Linked DNA regions of Lepisosteus oculatus. The protein of the gene in region 1 interacts with the protein of each later gene in a biochemical or structural test. Links are inferred from orthologs where the notes say so. Each region holds a gene or a part of one and is shown in the gene's direction. Other genes may lie near its edges.

Evidence for each region.
Region 2: the proteins of rlim (region 1) and lhx3 form a complex in vitro, tested with the Homo sapiens proteins (2 studies listed by BioGRID). The link is inferred for Lepisosteus oculatus from reciprocal best matches to the Homo sapiens genes RLIM and LHX3.

Annotation. Positions count from the first base shown.
Region 1 is NC_090703.1:37,516,508-37,524,383, forward strand, and holds the start of rlim (E3 ubiquitin-protein ligase RNF12-A), read left to right. Parts: upstream 1-4,443; 5' UTR 4,444-4,581; intron 4,582-6,646; 5' UTR 6,647-6,680; coding exon 6,681-6,849; intron 6,850-7,876. UniProt on the Homo sapiens protein: E3 ubiquitin-protein ligase.
Region 2 is NC_090719.1:8,949,118-8,957,449, reverse strand, and holds the start of lhx3 (LIM/homeobox protein Lhx3), read left to right. Parts: upstream 1-4,822; 5' UTR 4,823-5,324; coding exon 5,325-5,394; intron 5,395-8,332. UniProt on the Homo sapiens protein: Transcription factor.

The DNA of each region.
Region 1 (7,876 bases):
ACTGTACCTCTGCTGCTACATGAAAGATATGTGAACTTGAAAGCTCTTTGAAGAAGTTCAGAAGAATAGACACAAATGAGAGGAGGCTATTGGCACATCTAATTTGTTTGGTTGTTAGCAGCAAATTGTTCCAAGGAACTTCTCCAGCCGTTCAATGAAAGAAGCAAGGATATCCTGGCAAAATAACTGGATTAACTTTGTCAGTAACTTTGAGGATTCTGATTACATTTATCTGGACATCTTGTAGTCTTATCAGTTCGAGACTAAAAAGGTTCAGTTTCTTCAGCCTATCAGTATAATCACACACTTTAGCCCCAGAATGAAATTTATATTTTGACAGAGGAAGAGTCCAACTTAATTCCACAGGAAAGGATTGATCACATGGCAATACGGGACAGGAGCTTTAACCTGTACATTATTACTTTACAGGAGAAGCCTACCACTTTTCTTACATTCTTTTTCTACTAAACAGGTACTCCTTACACTCAGCCCTTTATAATAATCTGTGAGAGAGACTTTTTCTGCATGAACAAAGTGAAAATATGCCATTGTACATCTCTGAAAGCTGAGACATTAGATGACCTGAGGTTGCTTGCTATCCAAAAATGGCTGTGATGTTGACAGCTTATGTCCAGATTGTGAAAATACTTTTTTCTTCTCAGACAAAGGGAGCAGGCATCTGGTCCATAAGACTACAGTCTGGAAATTCAAAACCACATCTGAAAGCCAGAGTAAGGGTGAATCTAAAGATGAGGCATCTGAATGGATGAAATGTTGTCAACATCCTCTAGTTTACAAGGGTACTATATCTCATAGAATGTTAGCATGCCCCGATTACAAACTAAAACTATATCTTCAATCACTCCACTGTGTTGTTGAAATGGAAAGAATCTCTTCCAGACAAACTGTATTTTTTTCTTAATTGGGCACATCTCACTGTGCATACATGTTTCATTTCCTGGAAAAAATCAGAAAACAATTTGTTTAAAACCTGTTCTGTGCAGAAATCAGGGTCTAGATGTTCAATTATTTGGTCAAATTGATCCTTAAACAAACAACATAGACCACCAAATATATTGAGCTTCTCTGTGTTGCTATATAATTAACAAAATTAATTAAAATGACTTCCATTATATGTTAATGCATGTCAATTACTGCTGTTAATTATTATAATAATCCACCCCTCTTTGTGATTTGTGCATTTTGACAAGGTAGTTACTTTTTTTAGTTACTCTAATTGTAATTTTTGCTGCTGTACATGCATGGTTGTTATAGCTACTGTAAAGTGTACAGTGTATAGTTGTACCTAACAAAGTCAACTACCCTGAGGCTAATATGAGCAAGAGGTGGTTCTGTTAGGCCTAATACATTGAAAAGATGGTATGCTCATGAAAGCGATTGTTAGAACTTTTAGATTTTCATTGACAAATGAAAACTCTATTAAACCAGCAACTGATAACTCAGCTCAACAAGATTGGGAATTTCAGAATGCTGCAAGAGGGATCACGAAATAGCTTTGGAAAAACGTGATGCAAACTAGAGGTTACTATACTTAACATTCCTTTTTATCAGTAGGCTGCTAGTTGAAAGAGGTGTATATTAAATGTTAAACCTATTAGAACTCAGAAATAAAAATTGTTGAAAGTATTAAACACACCCCACTCTATCCACCCAACCAAAATCTTATTACAAAATCCCCTTCTCCACCCTGCTTGCATGCTCCTTGTCAATAATCAACATGGGCTTCACATGTATCCTCTATTTCCAGAGTAAAATGTGAATAGCCCAACCATATTCCTTCTCCATTGCATGTGTGCATGATTTTGAATTTTGATCCTGATCTCAGGTTTTCTCTGGGAGCTCCAGCTTCCTCCTACTTTCAGAAGACAAGCTGACTAGGCTTGAGTGGCTATTTGAAATCGTCCCTTTCTTTGTCACCCTGCAATAGACTGCTGCCCCCTCTAGGGGAAGAGCTGTCATGTTCTTTGTTTTTGGGACGGGCCCCCAGCTAGCCATGACTCTCAGCAGGTGAAGCAACGCTCTGATAACAGATAGATGACAAGCAGTTAAGCAGTAAATTAAACGTTAAATTAGTACATCCAAAGCCAAAATTAATAATTTTGGATCACACCCAATGTTCTCTCTAAGCAAAGCAGCACACAAAGGAAATTGAACTGAGCACAAAAAATTAAATTCCCCCCAAAATTATAATAATAAAACAAACACGGTTATCAATTGAAAAACGCTAAATTGACCATGAGACTGGCTGTGAGAGGCCCAACTTGGCTGTGTGCATTATTATTGCTACTCAATAACCGATATCTATGCTCTCGTAGTCTTGAACCTCACTGCTCATGCTCGCTCGGCACAGTCTCTATGACTGGGCTCGTTGAATTGCTGTCCCGGTCTTTTGGATCTCTATGCTTCAATGAGAATGACTATATTAACAAAAAATAATTTCAGGTTTACAATTTCACATATACTCAATTTAGTGCGCACAGGTACTCGAATTGTTTGCGCACATAGGCCATTACAAATTAGAGGGAACATAGGTCACACTTTTCTCTCAATGACAGACTCATTTCTTTTTAAAAAACTTTCATACTTTCACATTTCTCCCCCATCTCGCTCTTTGTTCAGACACTCAATTCAATACAATTCAAGTTGCTTTAATGGCATGACCGATGGGTACAATCAGTTTTGCCAGTGTTTTCCAAAAAATAAAAATAAAATAAAATCTACAGACTTATTACAGACATTTACAACAAAGATATATCTTTCTCACCTGTGTACCCATTCGCACCTGCTCTGTCCTTTGTTCTCTCGTGATTTTTATTCCAACCTTCATTCTCTCTCCCTCACACTCAAAGAAGGCTCAACAGCAGTTTCAATGAAGAATTTCTACTTTTTACTTTCTACTGATCAATGTGGAATTAACCATTACTTGTTCCTTTAAAATCAATGCACCCTAACACTGCTCCCTACTCAAACCTTGTCAATTCATCCATTTGCTAATAACTTTCGCTAATGGGTCAAGGGGAAGCCGGAGCCCACCCGCCAAACAACGGGCACAAGGCAGGATAGACCCTGGATAAAACGCTCGTGCATTGCAGATTGCACAGCGACACAATACAGACGCTCACACTCCCAATTTCCCCATTTCCCCAGAAGCCAGTTAACCTTCCAGTACGTTTAGACTGTGTGAGGAAACTGGAGCACCTGGAGTAAACTCACACTAATACAGGGAGAACACAAACACTACACAGATAGATTGCTCCCCATGGTGCGCTGCGAGAGAGAGCAATGCTAACTAACCACTGTGCCACCATGCCCTCATAAGCTTAATATCGTTTTACCCAAATTAAACAGCAATAATAACAGTTCATAAAAAATCATATTTCACAGATCATAGAAAAAATGTAGAAAATACCAGTGGAGGCTGTGACTCCCACTGCTATCAATCTATTCCAGGAGCAATATAAAAGAGGAGAAAATGCAGATATGTATTATATGAACTAATTTACTTCATAAAAATTCTCACCAGCCTTTAGAAATGACCGTCAATCCGTTAGTGATGCTTATGTTGACAAGAAGAGGCGTGGCAAAATTGTATACACATAGTAAGAACCAACAAATACACTACACTGGATTCTTATTTTGAAGAGAAATAACAAAAGAAATCATTTTCTTTTGATGATTTCCTAATGTTCTGTTTCGGGCAGAAAACAAAAATGCAAAACATTTTGTGAAGAAATGCCAATAATGGGTTTTGTTATTTATTTCATGCGCGTAACATCGTCACCTTTCGTGAACTAGCGCAGTTCGGTGTGGAACGCTGTTGAGGGGCGCCGCAGCGTCAGTCTGGTGTATTGGCACAGCCTAGGGGCCTGTGTGCACAAAGCACGGGTGTGTGTGAAATGGTGAGTATAGATAGCTTACAACCGAAGAACACAGATTGCCCGAAAAAAAAACATTAAAATAATTTTGTATGACACATACTCATATCATAAGTTAGTGGACCCAGTTTAATATAAACAATATTTTGGATGCTATCGCGCATGCCTTTCTCCTCTAGTTAAATTGATCCGCATTCCGGTTCTTGTTTTCGTCTGCCCAGTGCTTCAGGGCGTTGAAGTGACAGCAGCACACGTGGGAAATTATACGCACTTGGGGTATTATGTTTTTATTATCATCCAATGACAATATGTACCAGGATGCGTAACATATTTCTAATTATTATTTCATTTTTTAGAAAAGACATTCTATGTAATCTGTCACTTCCCAGCTACATGCATTACATCCCCGCAGTTCTCCTTATTCCTATGCACCGCATCAACAACCAGAGAAAACCGAAAGAATGCAGCACCGAGTCCGTCTTCCCTCCTCAAGATGGCGCTGTGGCGGGCGAACAGAACTCCTGGTCCTTGCGTATTTCCGTTTTATCACAGCTCCTGTTCCGGTAGGCTTTGCAATAATGAAGAAAATGGCAGTTTGAGACATAGGAAGACAGAGGTGAATCCGAGATAGAGAAGAGAGGAAAATACGCGAATTAATTGAAGTAAAAGCAACGGATTATAACAGGTATACGAAACGGTTCTTGAATTCGTAACACGGGGGTCAAAAATCGTCCCGCTTTGTGTTATTGGCCGGAAAATGATGACGTTGTTTTTAATTAGAAACTCCTTGTTTATTTTTTGTTGTGCAATTCATGAAATGTCGTTTGATGGTCTAGCCTTTCATTGAATTTTCTTTAATTAAAGAAACACCAATTCAGCATGCCGCAGTAAAAGTCGTTAAAATAACTGTTTTTGCTTTTTGTCGGTGTTCTAGCGATTAAAAGGAGGTTTCTCTGTTTTTTCTTTTCTTTACCTAATTTAACAGACGGTGGGCCTCAGAGCTTATTACTCATAATTGAGTTGCTTGAAATGAATCCGATCGAAAAAAATCAAATCTATGACTATAGTAGTAATTCTGTGTTGTTTATACCACGGTAAGATTCAGTAATACAATCCAGAAAGATATTTTTCTGACCTAATTTGGGAAACGTACAGCTGTTGCCATTTTGTTTTTTCTCATCGATTGTCAGATTCAGACATGATGTGTTTTGATCTAAACACGAATAATTTTAGTCAAAAAGGCTTCACATGATTTCAGCATTTTTAAATACACAGTTTAGACCATGCGTTTTTAAAAGTTCAGACGTCTTTTGCTTTACACATAACTGAAGATAAATAGGGATGACGCACCGCCTTATTTCAGTAACTTAATTGTATAGCAATTTTTAATATTTCAGAATAGTATTTTGAACCTCTTCCACTGATTACCATCTTAAGTGGTTTTTCATTGGGATATAGTCCTTGGTTTGGGAGTTATTCTATTGCAAAATTATAGGCCCGTTTTTATAATTCACTCATTTTAATTGGATCATAAAAAGCAAGCATTTGTTATAATGTTTTCAGATTGGTTCATTGTCCATATAAGTTGATAAGGTAATGAAATTAATGTTTATTTTAGTTTTGTTGTACTAAGCATCACATTTATAGTGTGCACTCAAATGCACAGATTGTGCAGCAGATCTGTTAATAATGTTATTTGATCAGTTTATGAATCAGACACTGTGATCGTTGTAAAATACTAGCTTACAATGAAGAACTGGTGGAATTGCTCCAGTAAATACTCTGCCCACTGGTATTCACTTGAGCAATCTGAATCCCATACTTTGCTCACGGGTACAAAAGCAACATCCCACATGGGATTTAAAAGCCATGACCCAACTAAACCATGCAGCTGAATGAATTAACTGCTCTAAATTTACAGAATTAGATTTATTTTTAGTTACCTTTTGGATCTGTCATTTATTTAAGAAGTTGACTTTTTATAGAAAGTGTAAGCCCTCATAGGAAATATGTAGGTTGTACCCATGTCTGTTTTATAACAATATTTTGTGTAGAATGTGTGAATCTTAGTAAAACAAAGAGCATAAGCAATAAGTAGGACATTGCAGACTTTTTTGTATTCACTGCTCCCTATTGTATTTCTACCAGTGCAGATTAAAAATCATTTTGAAGCCTTGCCTGTTTAACCATGAATGCTGAGAAAAGCTCAACAGCTTCCTTGCTGTGATTGGATTCACTCTGATCTTTTCCACAAGAGTATCTCCATGTGCTTTTAAATTTGATAAGATCAGTCGCTACCTATAAAAAGCGACGTGTCCTCAAATTGTTCATTTCTTGTGTAAAATACATAGTGTTTCATCACGTGCCTGGGCAGATCCTTAATGACATGAGCACATTTTCCGGTTTCCGCAAATATTAGTGTGTACTTAACGTGTAAGGAGTTGATTATGAAGCTAGATTTGTGTCCCAGTTATGAGCTTGAGACATTTTTAAAGAAGTTTTTTATGAGTGCATGTTTGAATTTTCACACGAGTGCATGATTACCATCCCAGGCTAAATCAATATAACCTCTCCCCCAGCCCCCGCTATGAACATGATCTGAAGATTAGAAGAATTTGTACTGTATCATTTAATGCCAAATGCAAAGTGGCTCTTATATTTGAAATAAAGTGCAGCTCAAGGGGCTGATATGTAACCCTGTGGCACCACACCATCTTCAAATCAATTTTCCTTTGTTTTCATTCTAATAGTCTGAAGTAAGACCTCACCTTTGCCCTGGCTGCAATGGAGAACTCGGACAGTGCGGAACAAGGAGGAAGCGAGCAGTCGGAAGCTCAACGTCAGCGGCAGAGAGACCGGCTCAACAGGGAAGAGGCTTTCTACCAGTTTGTGAACAACCTGAGTGAGGAGGACTACCGGCTGATGAGAGACAATAACCTGTTGGGAACCCCTGGTAATACATCCATTTTTTAGTGACAGAACAATTTTCACAGCTAATTCCCTTAAATTGATATGTTTTTGTTTCCGTTTTAATACTATTGGGTTTCCTCCACAGACCCAGTCAGGCGGAGGAAAAACTGATTGACTTGCAAATACTAACGTTTTAAAATGAAGCGATGGATTCTACCTCACAAAGTAGTTAGTCAACATGCTAAATGAATGAACTGCATCACATTGGTTATAATTACAAGACTTTTTTGCCACTCATTTAATATTTTCTCAAGAAAATGCTTTAGAAAACCTTAAAATAACACACCTGGATTGAATGCTTTCAAAAGGAAGTGCTTAAAGTGACCTAGTGTTGAAAGCTCATCAAGTACTAAAACTAAGCTTAACGGGCTCAAATTCGGATCACTTTAACATGATCACAGCTTGATCCTACTTTTTAAAATACAGATTAACTACATTTTAATTTAATTTAAATTACAAAAAGGTTGCAGCACTGTTTGTCTTGGCACAGACAATGCAGAACAGACCACCTTCAGTCATGACAAAAGTAGGCCTCTATTCGTTACTGAAGTTTGGTGTGGTGATGTTTTGCTGTTTCTGCATTAAAATCATTTCATTTGGAATTGCATTAACATTATGAATGATAGAAAACTTTATGTAGCCAGAAATCTACTAGTGTTGTGCCACAGTATTCATTATTTGGTATAATAACACACTGATCATGTCTTTATTACTCCGAAAGTGTGGAGTTTAATCTGCTATCTGTATTGCTTAAGTTAAAGATTATAATTGTTTCCTTCAGCTGTATGTAGGAGAGCTTCAAAGAAGTATTCTGATGCTAATCATCATTTAAAACTTGTTTACTTTGAGTCGTAAATCCAGTTTATTTTCCAGACTGGTGTGGCGTAGATTTAAGCCTTTGCCACTTCTGAGCAGGTTAGCACTTAGTGGAATAAATATGACTTATTGCAGTTTTCTTTCTGCATTTCTTTATTAATATTGCTGTGTGGTTTTAATAAATTCTTTGCTAT
Region 2 (8,332 bases), on another chromosome or scaffold:
GAATGCTTCATATTCCACAACAAAGCCTTACTGTGATTATTGCCATCAAAAGTAATTCATTTGCCGGCTTAATATCAATTGTTAAAATTATTTCCACGACTATGAAAAGTCAGGGTTTTGTGCCTAATTATGAACATACGGGCAGCATGTTGGGTTGCATCCAATCAAACGTCTGTGGGTGTCAGATTCCATTTCTGCTCATTTGAAAGCACAGCAGCCCTATTGTAATACAGGCTCCTGCGGTCTTGATATGTCATGGCAAAGGTGTCTACCTGAAGCTATGAGTGGCGGAATTGAGTGAATCTTAGCTGCAAGTGTGGAAGTTCTCAGGAAAGAAGACATTTTCTTTGGGAACAGCTGTCATTTTTTGAAAAACCATTACTTTAAAACCACAGACGCTAAGAGTGCACTTGTGTCAATGCAAAGCGGAGCAGTATGCCCAATCAGGTAGAAGGATGAAAACAGATGACACATATGGAAGCTGCACTTTGAAAACCTGCTTGTGTCACGATCCAGCTTGAAACTTTGTCTCTTAGTAACACGGAGAGTGCAGAACAAGAACAAGGGGCTTTTAAAACTCTCTGCTCCTTTCACTGGAACTGGCAAATGCCTATTAGATGCAAACTGCAAATGAGTCTTAAAAGCTTTGCAGTCCATGTAGGTACTGCTAGCCACTCTGGCATAAATATTCATTGTGTTGAATGTCAATAACACTTTCAAGAAAAGCCAAGGAGACAGAAAGCTTATATTTGCTCTGGACTGCAGAGCTGTAGAGATGAAAAGAGACCTTCAAGCAAACGAACAAAACTCTTCAATGGAGTATAAAAATGAGCCTCAAGTGACACTTGGATTTCAAGAGCCACATGCGTCAATGTTTTTGTCCCCACTTCCCAAATCGTCTCTCTGAAGTTAGACCTTCCACTCTGAAGACTCACATGCGGGTTTAAATGCCATAGGCTTTGTTAGCAACTATTTCAACCTGATTGCAATGGGTCTCTGAAGTGGGCCCCAGATGTGTCAACACTTAACCAATCTTCTCAAGTGGCAAGAACAGTATAGCTGCCCGCACAATTTGAAAGACCCAAAAATTGAGGGCAGATTACATTTTTTTTTTAATGTTAGTGCTTATTAGCACTGAATTTCTGGTAAACGTTGCTTGTTTTTTTTTTCTTTTTAGATTGTCATTTTAAAACTAACGAAAGACAGAATTTCTTCCTTACTTTTTAAAATGAGAATTGAAAGAATTATTTGTAATATAACAATTACCATTCCTTCTCACTAGCTGTCCCTAATTCGCAAACAAGTGAGTTTGTTCCGTGCACTGCACTGCTTTATCCGGGATGGAGGCCTTGTATTTATCCAAGAAGCTGGAATGGGGGAATCTTCATGTTTCATGGGTGTTCGGAGTTCGTCAGAGACCGCGAGAAACATCTGTAGGAAAACAGACTACAGTGCGCTTGCAGTCCTGTCACTTAAACCGCGTGGTGGTTGTAAATGAATCTCTGCGCAATTCAGAGAAACACAACACAATAAATGCTGAGCCGAAAGAAGGTATTGTACGGCGCTAAAATTAAGAAAAAATAATGTTTTCAGATGATGGTTGATGTCTGCTCGTATACAGGTGCCTCAAAAATAATCGAAAAATTGATTTCATTATTGAAATCTGTGAAGATTGGCACAGAAACTTAGTTAATATTTACAGATTTCAATTAGTATTCTTACGGAACAAGTCCTCAAGAGGATAAAAATACTGTACATCAATATCAAAGAACAGCATTTATAACAACACATACAGTCCTACTTCAGAGAAAGCGGTGTTCTAGAGCGATCCTGGAGTCTGTTTTTGTCTATAAGCTCCTTTGAGGCTGTTTGGTTTTAGAATCCTAGTTATGTGGTTCCTTCCAGACTTGTCGTTTGTCCTTATAATCTTTATCAAAGAGATCAGACTGACTTATTGATGGAGGATTAAGGCTAATAGCCACATCGTCTTCAGTGATGAAAACAAGTTTCACAATAAATTCGGACATCTATGCTAGAAATCTATTGTAATCATTCGACGGTATCCGAGTTGTTTAGGATCCTAACGCGTACATATCTTCTTATATTAGTCTTTTTTTTCTTTGTTAGGCATTACAAATTTAAAATTCCCCAAATGCAAAAAACTGCAATCAGGAGACTTTTGTTCGGCATATTTTTCTCGTTATTCTTATTATTGTTATAATCGTTGTTGTTGTTGTTTGTACTACAGGCAAGAAGCGATGACTAATGAACGAGAAAAATGCACGAATTTAAGTCTTTTGATGTTCACATTAATTTATAGACCCAGTGAAATAGCATTATTTTCACGTATTTAGCTCAACTAATTAAATTACTTGTAAAATCAAGTTCTATACAATTTGAATGTTTTTTCAAACCCAAGAAACAAGTACTTGCAAATAAGGTTGATTGTGTTAGAACACTATTATTGTTTTTTTTGTCTTCACGTTGCTAAACTATTACACTATGTACATTATTTTTGCAAATGACTTAATATCAGGCGAGTTTGTATAACATACAGTGTATGTTCACTTTAACAAGGATGGTGTACTGTATGCACTAGTATTATACAGTTTACTATAATGTTATTAAAAAGGTAGCAAACTACATCTTTGTGAGAAAATAGAAAGTGGTTAATAAAAGTGAAAACTATTTTCCCTAAAAAGTGAAAACTGTCCCTCCACGCCTCCAGGCCAATTAAAGAAATTATTCCTCATAAATATGAACTAGTGGTAGCCTCAATAAAAACAAAATAACGCTAGGTAGGGTATTTCATTTATTGCAATTTATGATTTTAACCCCTAACGTTAATTGTATAAAATGTCATAATGAGGAAAAAAATGAAAGAATACGCTTTTTACGGCATTTATTTCTATTATAAACGTAACGTAGGAATGCTATACACTGCACATACAGTAGCACAGTAGCTAGAAGATGTTTCCTTCTATGTTTAGGTCTATATCTGTTCTAAAATAAATTTTAGGCATCAAATCTGATAAAAACGATACGGAAAACAAGGCAGTGACGATGATTACGTTTGAGAAATAAAATGCATATAAAATGTATAAAAAATGAATTAGTTCAACTGAAGTACGCATATGCTTCGGCTGTTCCGCGTCCTGAAGGTGCGACGTTGCTCTGTTATTTTCCAACAAGTGAAAATTCGGTCACCTTACTTTTGTAAAGTGATTTAGACATATGTGCTGACAGTCCGTCTTTAAAGTGCTTTTATTAATTTGTAATCCTCTCGGATTAGGTTTAACCGGATTCATTCCGATTAGTGGCTCGCAGTAACTAACATTAATTATCGCCTGAAACGGAGATTTGGATTTCCTTCCTCTGGCAGGCAAACTTCCAGGATTCCTGTCCGAAATCACAGTCTGTAAAATGTTGGGTGAAACGTCTTAAATATTAGAGGAACCACAAGCTCGGCGCCGCTTTGCAAACACTTTGCTCATAGACAAGTGTATGCAATTGCACGCTGTATGTGTTTGGGGTAAATTGTAAAACCCTACATTGGCTTCATAAATGAATCGTTTCTTCTGTACCGGTTTGTCGATATACTACTGTATGCCCTCGCCCGGCCATCATTCTTGTATACAGCAGATGTAAATTATTGTACAGTATGTAGCGTGTATCTGCCGCATCTGCAGTGTCTTTTTAACGAAGAATGCCCAATATCCATCCCCACTGCAGTCAGATGAAGATGTTATTCTAAAGGAAGATTTATAATAATTGTGTAATGACCATTTAAAACTGCAGATTGACGTAACCCTGATTTTTAGGAGGATTATACGTATGAATACGTTGTCTTACTCAATGCTATAGCGCTCTGAATTCTCACACCCCAGTAATTAACCCACCAGCCAGAGCCCTCCAGTGACCAAAGAGCACCCTGCCGCGGGCAATCGTTATTCGAGCGGTAAGTTTGGCTATAACAACCAATAGATCAATTCCATGTTTCCCGCTTTATTTTTTACGTAGCTGATGAGTTGAAAACTAATGCCAAATGTATAAACGCAGTCATTTTCATCCATTATCCCGACGCGTAAAGTTCGACAACCCAGAAACAGACCTTCAAGAGCCGGTCGCAAGGCGTGACGTAAAACGCCTCAATACACTCAAGTATTTACACATTTCAGAACATTTAAATATTTACATTCCACTTCACGTAACTCTTTTTGTCCGCATGCAATGTATTTAAAACTGGTATGAGCCCTTGTGTTCATCAGTCTTGAACAAGTTTACCATTTAATTCTGCTATGGTGATCAAACAAATCGAGTCCAAACATTGAGAAAGCGAGGTAATAGTCAATTACTGTATAATAGCACGATGTTTACTAGTTTAAGCATTAATATATATATATATTAATGCGTCATCAAAATCCCTGGCGGTTTTGTTTTGAATCCATGTAATCTTTTAACTGATAAGAGGACAGAACATTTCGGTCCTGAAAGATTCTGATATTAGGTAAAAAACTAAACGTCTTTCTTTAAAATCTTTGTAGCAGTTACTTCCACAAATAAGCTTCATTTTTACTCTCCCCCCTCCATCCACCCAACCCCCCCAACTCGGTGGCAAATTTTACTTTTGTTATAGGGAACAAAAGGAGAACGGGGGTGTTAAACGATTTTTTTTTCCTTTTTCTCATGACTACAATGTCTGGACGCGGGCTGCCTAGTATCCTATTGTGTACGGTGAAAGACAGACACGTGTATATTATATGTATTGGGGCACGGCAGGGAACAAAACAGCATAAACACGCCTCCGGCATCGCGTCTAGCTACTCCCCTTCAGCACCACGGACAGGGCAAAATGTCAACAGCGCCGCATCCCCGCTCGCCGCTTTTGTTATGTTAAAGACCGGTACTCCTAGCAACTCTAGGTCAGCTGACGGTATTAATTGTCGCTGTAGGAATCCCCGTCTTCACCCACGGAACAAAACAGCTAGTTACACTGTAGCTTTCTAAAAGTTGACATCTCACCAGGAAGCGGCGACTTTGACGTCTGTTGTGTACACTGATTTTAATTCGCCGATTCGAAAAATCTGAGGCAAACCCTGCCTTTCCTTTTCGTTATCGCCCGCGAAGCCGCTTTGAAAATTAGCGCTACAGTTTGTTTTGTTTGGTTGTGTTTTTTTTTTTTTACAGTTAGTGTATAAAAGGCGCGTTAGTCTTTTTTCTCCTACAAGACGTGCCTTTTGTTTCAAAATACCTTTTACGGTTGATCACAGAACACCTTCCGTATGCATTAATTTCCATTTAAAACCTTGCCACTTCGACTAAACATGTTGCTTGAACACTCGGGATCAAGCTGTCAGAATCACAGTAATTTATCCAGATACAATTCCAGCCAAGGTAAGAAATATTATTTTATTTCTTAGGTTTGACATTGCTTTTGAATTGTGCTTGAGTCCTGTTAACCGTTGCTTCCTTTACTTTGAGTGTCTAATTGCTGATTTCACGCTCTTTAACTACCTTATGTTCGTCTGCTGGGCATAATTCGCTGTGGAACAGTACCTGTTACACTCCCTACATCGAATAGTCTTTATAGGGATTAATTTCAAAGCCATATAAACACAACTTATTTTAAACGGTAGTATCTGAAGTGCTACTTATAGGGATTATTTTTAGTGCCGTATAAACACAGCTTTCTTGAAACTATCTGGTCAACTTGTTTTAAATGGTAGTCTCTGAAGTGCACCACGGTGAAAATAATGTGTTTCATGTGATTTATATATGAAGCCATTTTACTAGTCTAATGGGAAAAAAAATGTTGTAATAATGTCTAGACACTTCAATTATTTCTTTAGATTTCACAATGGCAAAAAGGTCTCATTGCTTAAGGTTATAATTTCTTTAAATACTGGTACGGTAGATGTCGAATTATTTTAAAAGCGATGAAAGCAAAAGACCAAGCGGTTTACGACTTGCTAACGAGACGCATTGGTCCGACAGAGGGGCAGCTACGTTTTCTTTTCTTTCTTGCCCAGTTTGTAGCGGACGTTATGAATATGTAATGAGCTGCATTGTTAGTAAATGATATGAACAGATGTTAAGCGCGTGCTGTCATTTCACACCATTATTCATCGCTATTGTGAGACCACCGGTACACTCCGGGCCCCCGGAGTAAGACTGCACTCCGGCGGGACCACAGCGCAACAGCCTGCCTGCCCTGAGATGTGCACCATACACTTCATTGCAAAACTTCCAGATCTCGTCTTCTCACGACAGGTGCTGCACCTGAGATATTTGAACATAAAGGACGTCCCCGTGGATCGGTCACAAACAGTCACCGAGAATGCAGGGGTGAAAAGCATGTTGTATGTACATTAGCAGGCATGTTAAAAAAATAAAACATTCCTGCTAATGTACATACAGTAGGTACTTGCAATCCGAAATGAATTGGGAGGAACTGTAAAAGCAATTTAAAGGTTCTCTGGTAAAGCGCTGACTTTTAGTGGTAGGAAACAAATACACTTCAATAAGTAACGGTGTTCCTGAACGCAAAGCACCATGAAAAGGGTTAATCAGTAATAGTATACAATTTCCATTCTTTTTTCGAGCAACAAATTTAATATTTACTTAAATATAACTTAGATACATTCAAGCTATTAACCCAAATCGATTTTAGTACTCATTGCTGGGTCCTGGTAATCATTTCAGTGCATTGAAATATTCATTTTTGCATCAAACCATTAAAATGTCTTTTAAACTCAGTTTCCAAACTGGAGGACGTCCTGCGGTGGACTATGATTCGCTTACCGCTTTGTTAAATCGAAGATGATTGTAGTTTTCCAACAGGCAGTTAATTCAAGAACATTAGTTATTCATTATTTAACATCATCAACCCTGGAGCACTAACTTGCAGCTTGGTATATATTGGTTTATTTACCCACGGTTCACAGTGGTCTTAATGAACTCAAGGTGAATTATGACAGCAACAACAACCGATTGATAATATAGGTGAGAATTATTTGAAAATATTAATTTCTTAAAATCATGATAACACGATATACTGTATTTATACAGAAAACGTAGTATACAGACCTCCGTGTTTCAATTCGATTTTCTAGTTCAAAGTAACGTAAAATAGTAATTTACAATATTCAGTATCCAGATATAGATATTGCTTGAGCTAATAGGATAAAAATGGAAAATGAACAGTTTCCGCCTGATGAGTCAATTTGTGAAAAGCCCGTTAAGACCCAGCAGTTTCTCTGTGGATGTCCCTCACTTTTTTTTCAAGGCCATAGGCGCCGCTCATTTTATTGCGCTTCTGTCGCCCGGCCACTCAAAAGTGCCCGATCAATAACGCATAAAAAAATATTATTAAAGCTTAAAAGTAAGGAAGAACATTGAAACATTACGCACCTTTCACCAAAATGTGTTTCGCCTGCTCTGAAAACGCAGGCAAATGGGGCATTGATTCTGAATTCATCAGAGAACCCGGCAGCGGTACCACTACGCCTGATTTCCCAAGGCGCCCTTTTGCACTAAGGATCAGTGTCAATAAAATTTATCTGGGTGTTGCCTCGCTTAACATTTTATTGAGCGGCCCATCTTTCCCAAAGCAAACAGTTGTCTTTGAGAAGTCATTGCATAGACCTAGCGACGCGCCTTCATTCTGACCCTCACGACTTCTCTTACTAAAACCTATTTACCGATCCTACAAATGCGACCTGTTCTGGCTGCTGCTCTTGTGACGCCTGTCGTGAGCGCCTTTTATTTCTTGATCTTTGTTTCTAGACACAATTGCTATTGTGCATTGCCTCGCAATGTTTGTAACATGAAGACTTTGATACGGAATACGCCTTTTTATTGAGAATGAAGTTTCTTACCTCACGAACAATTTAAATAATGTATGCCTATATCACTCGGCAAAATCACTCGGCAAGAATCCCTCGACTAGAATCTGCAAGCGTGTAGAATGTTTCTGATGATTACTGCTTTCGCCTTTCTTAAGTTATTCAAATATATATATTGATCTATACTGTATTTTCGTTGCGATCTGGAAAGAAAACAAGTATTTAAATATAGGACTTTTCTGAAGACCAGTTAATCCTACATATCTGGTCTCTTGCTCTTTGGAAAAGTGATTAAAACAGAGTTGTATCTTTCAATGTAAAAATAAAATGTACCTCAGCAAACATAAGGACATGTGGAAGAGCGCTACAGTTATCCCCAGACCCAATAACACCTCAAGCATATACGGACTTGACAAAAATTCGGTTTTCTAAAATGCATGGCGAAGAACAATGTTCATCCCATTATTTTTTGGATGAAATAGATCGGT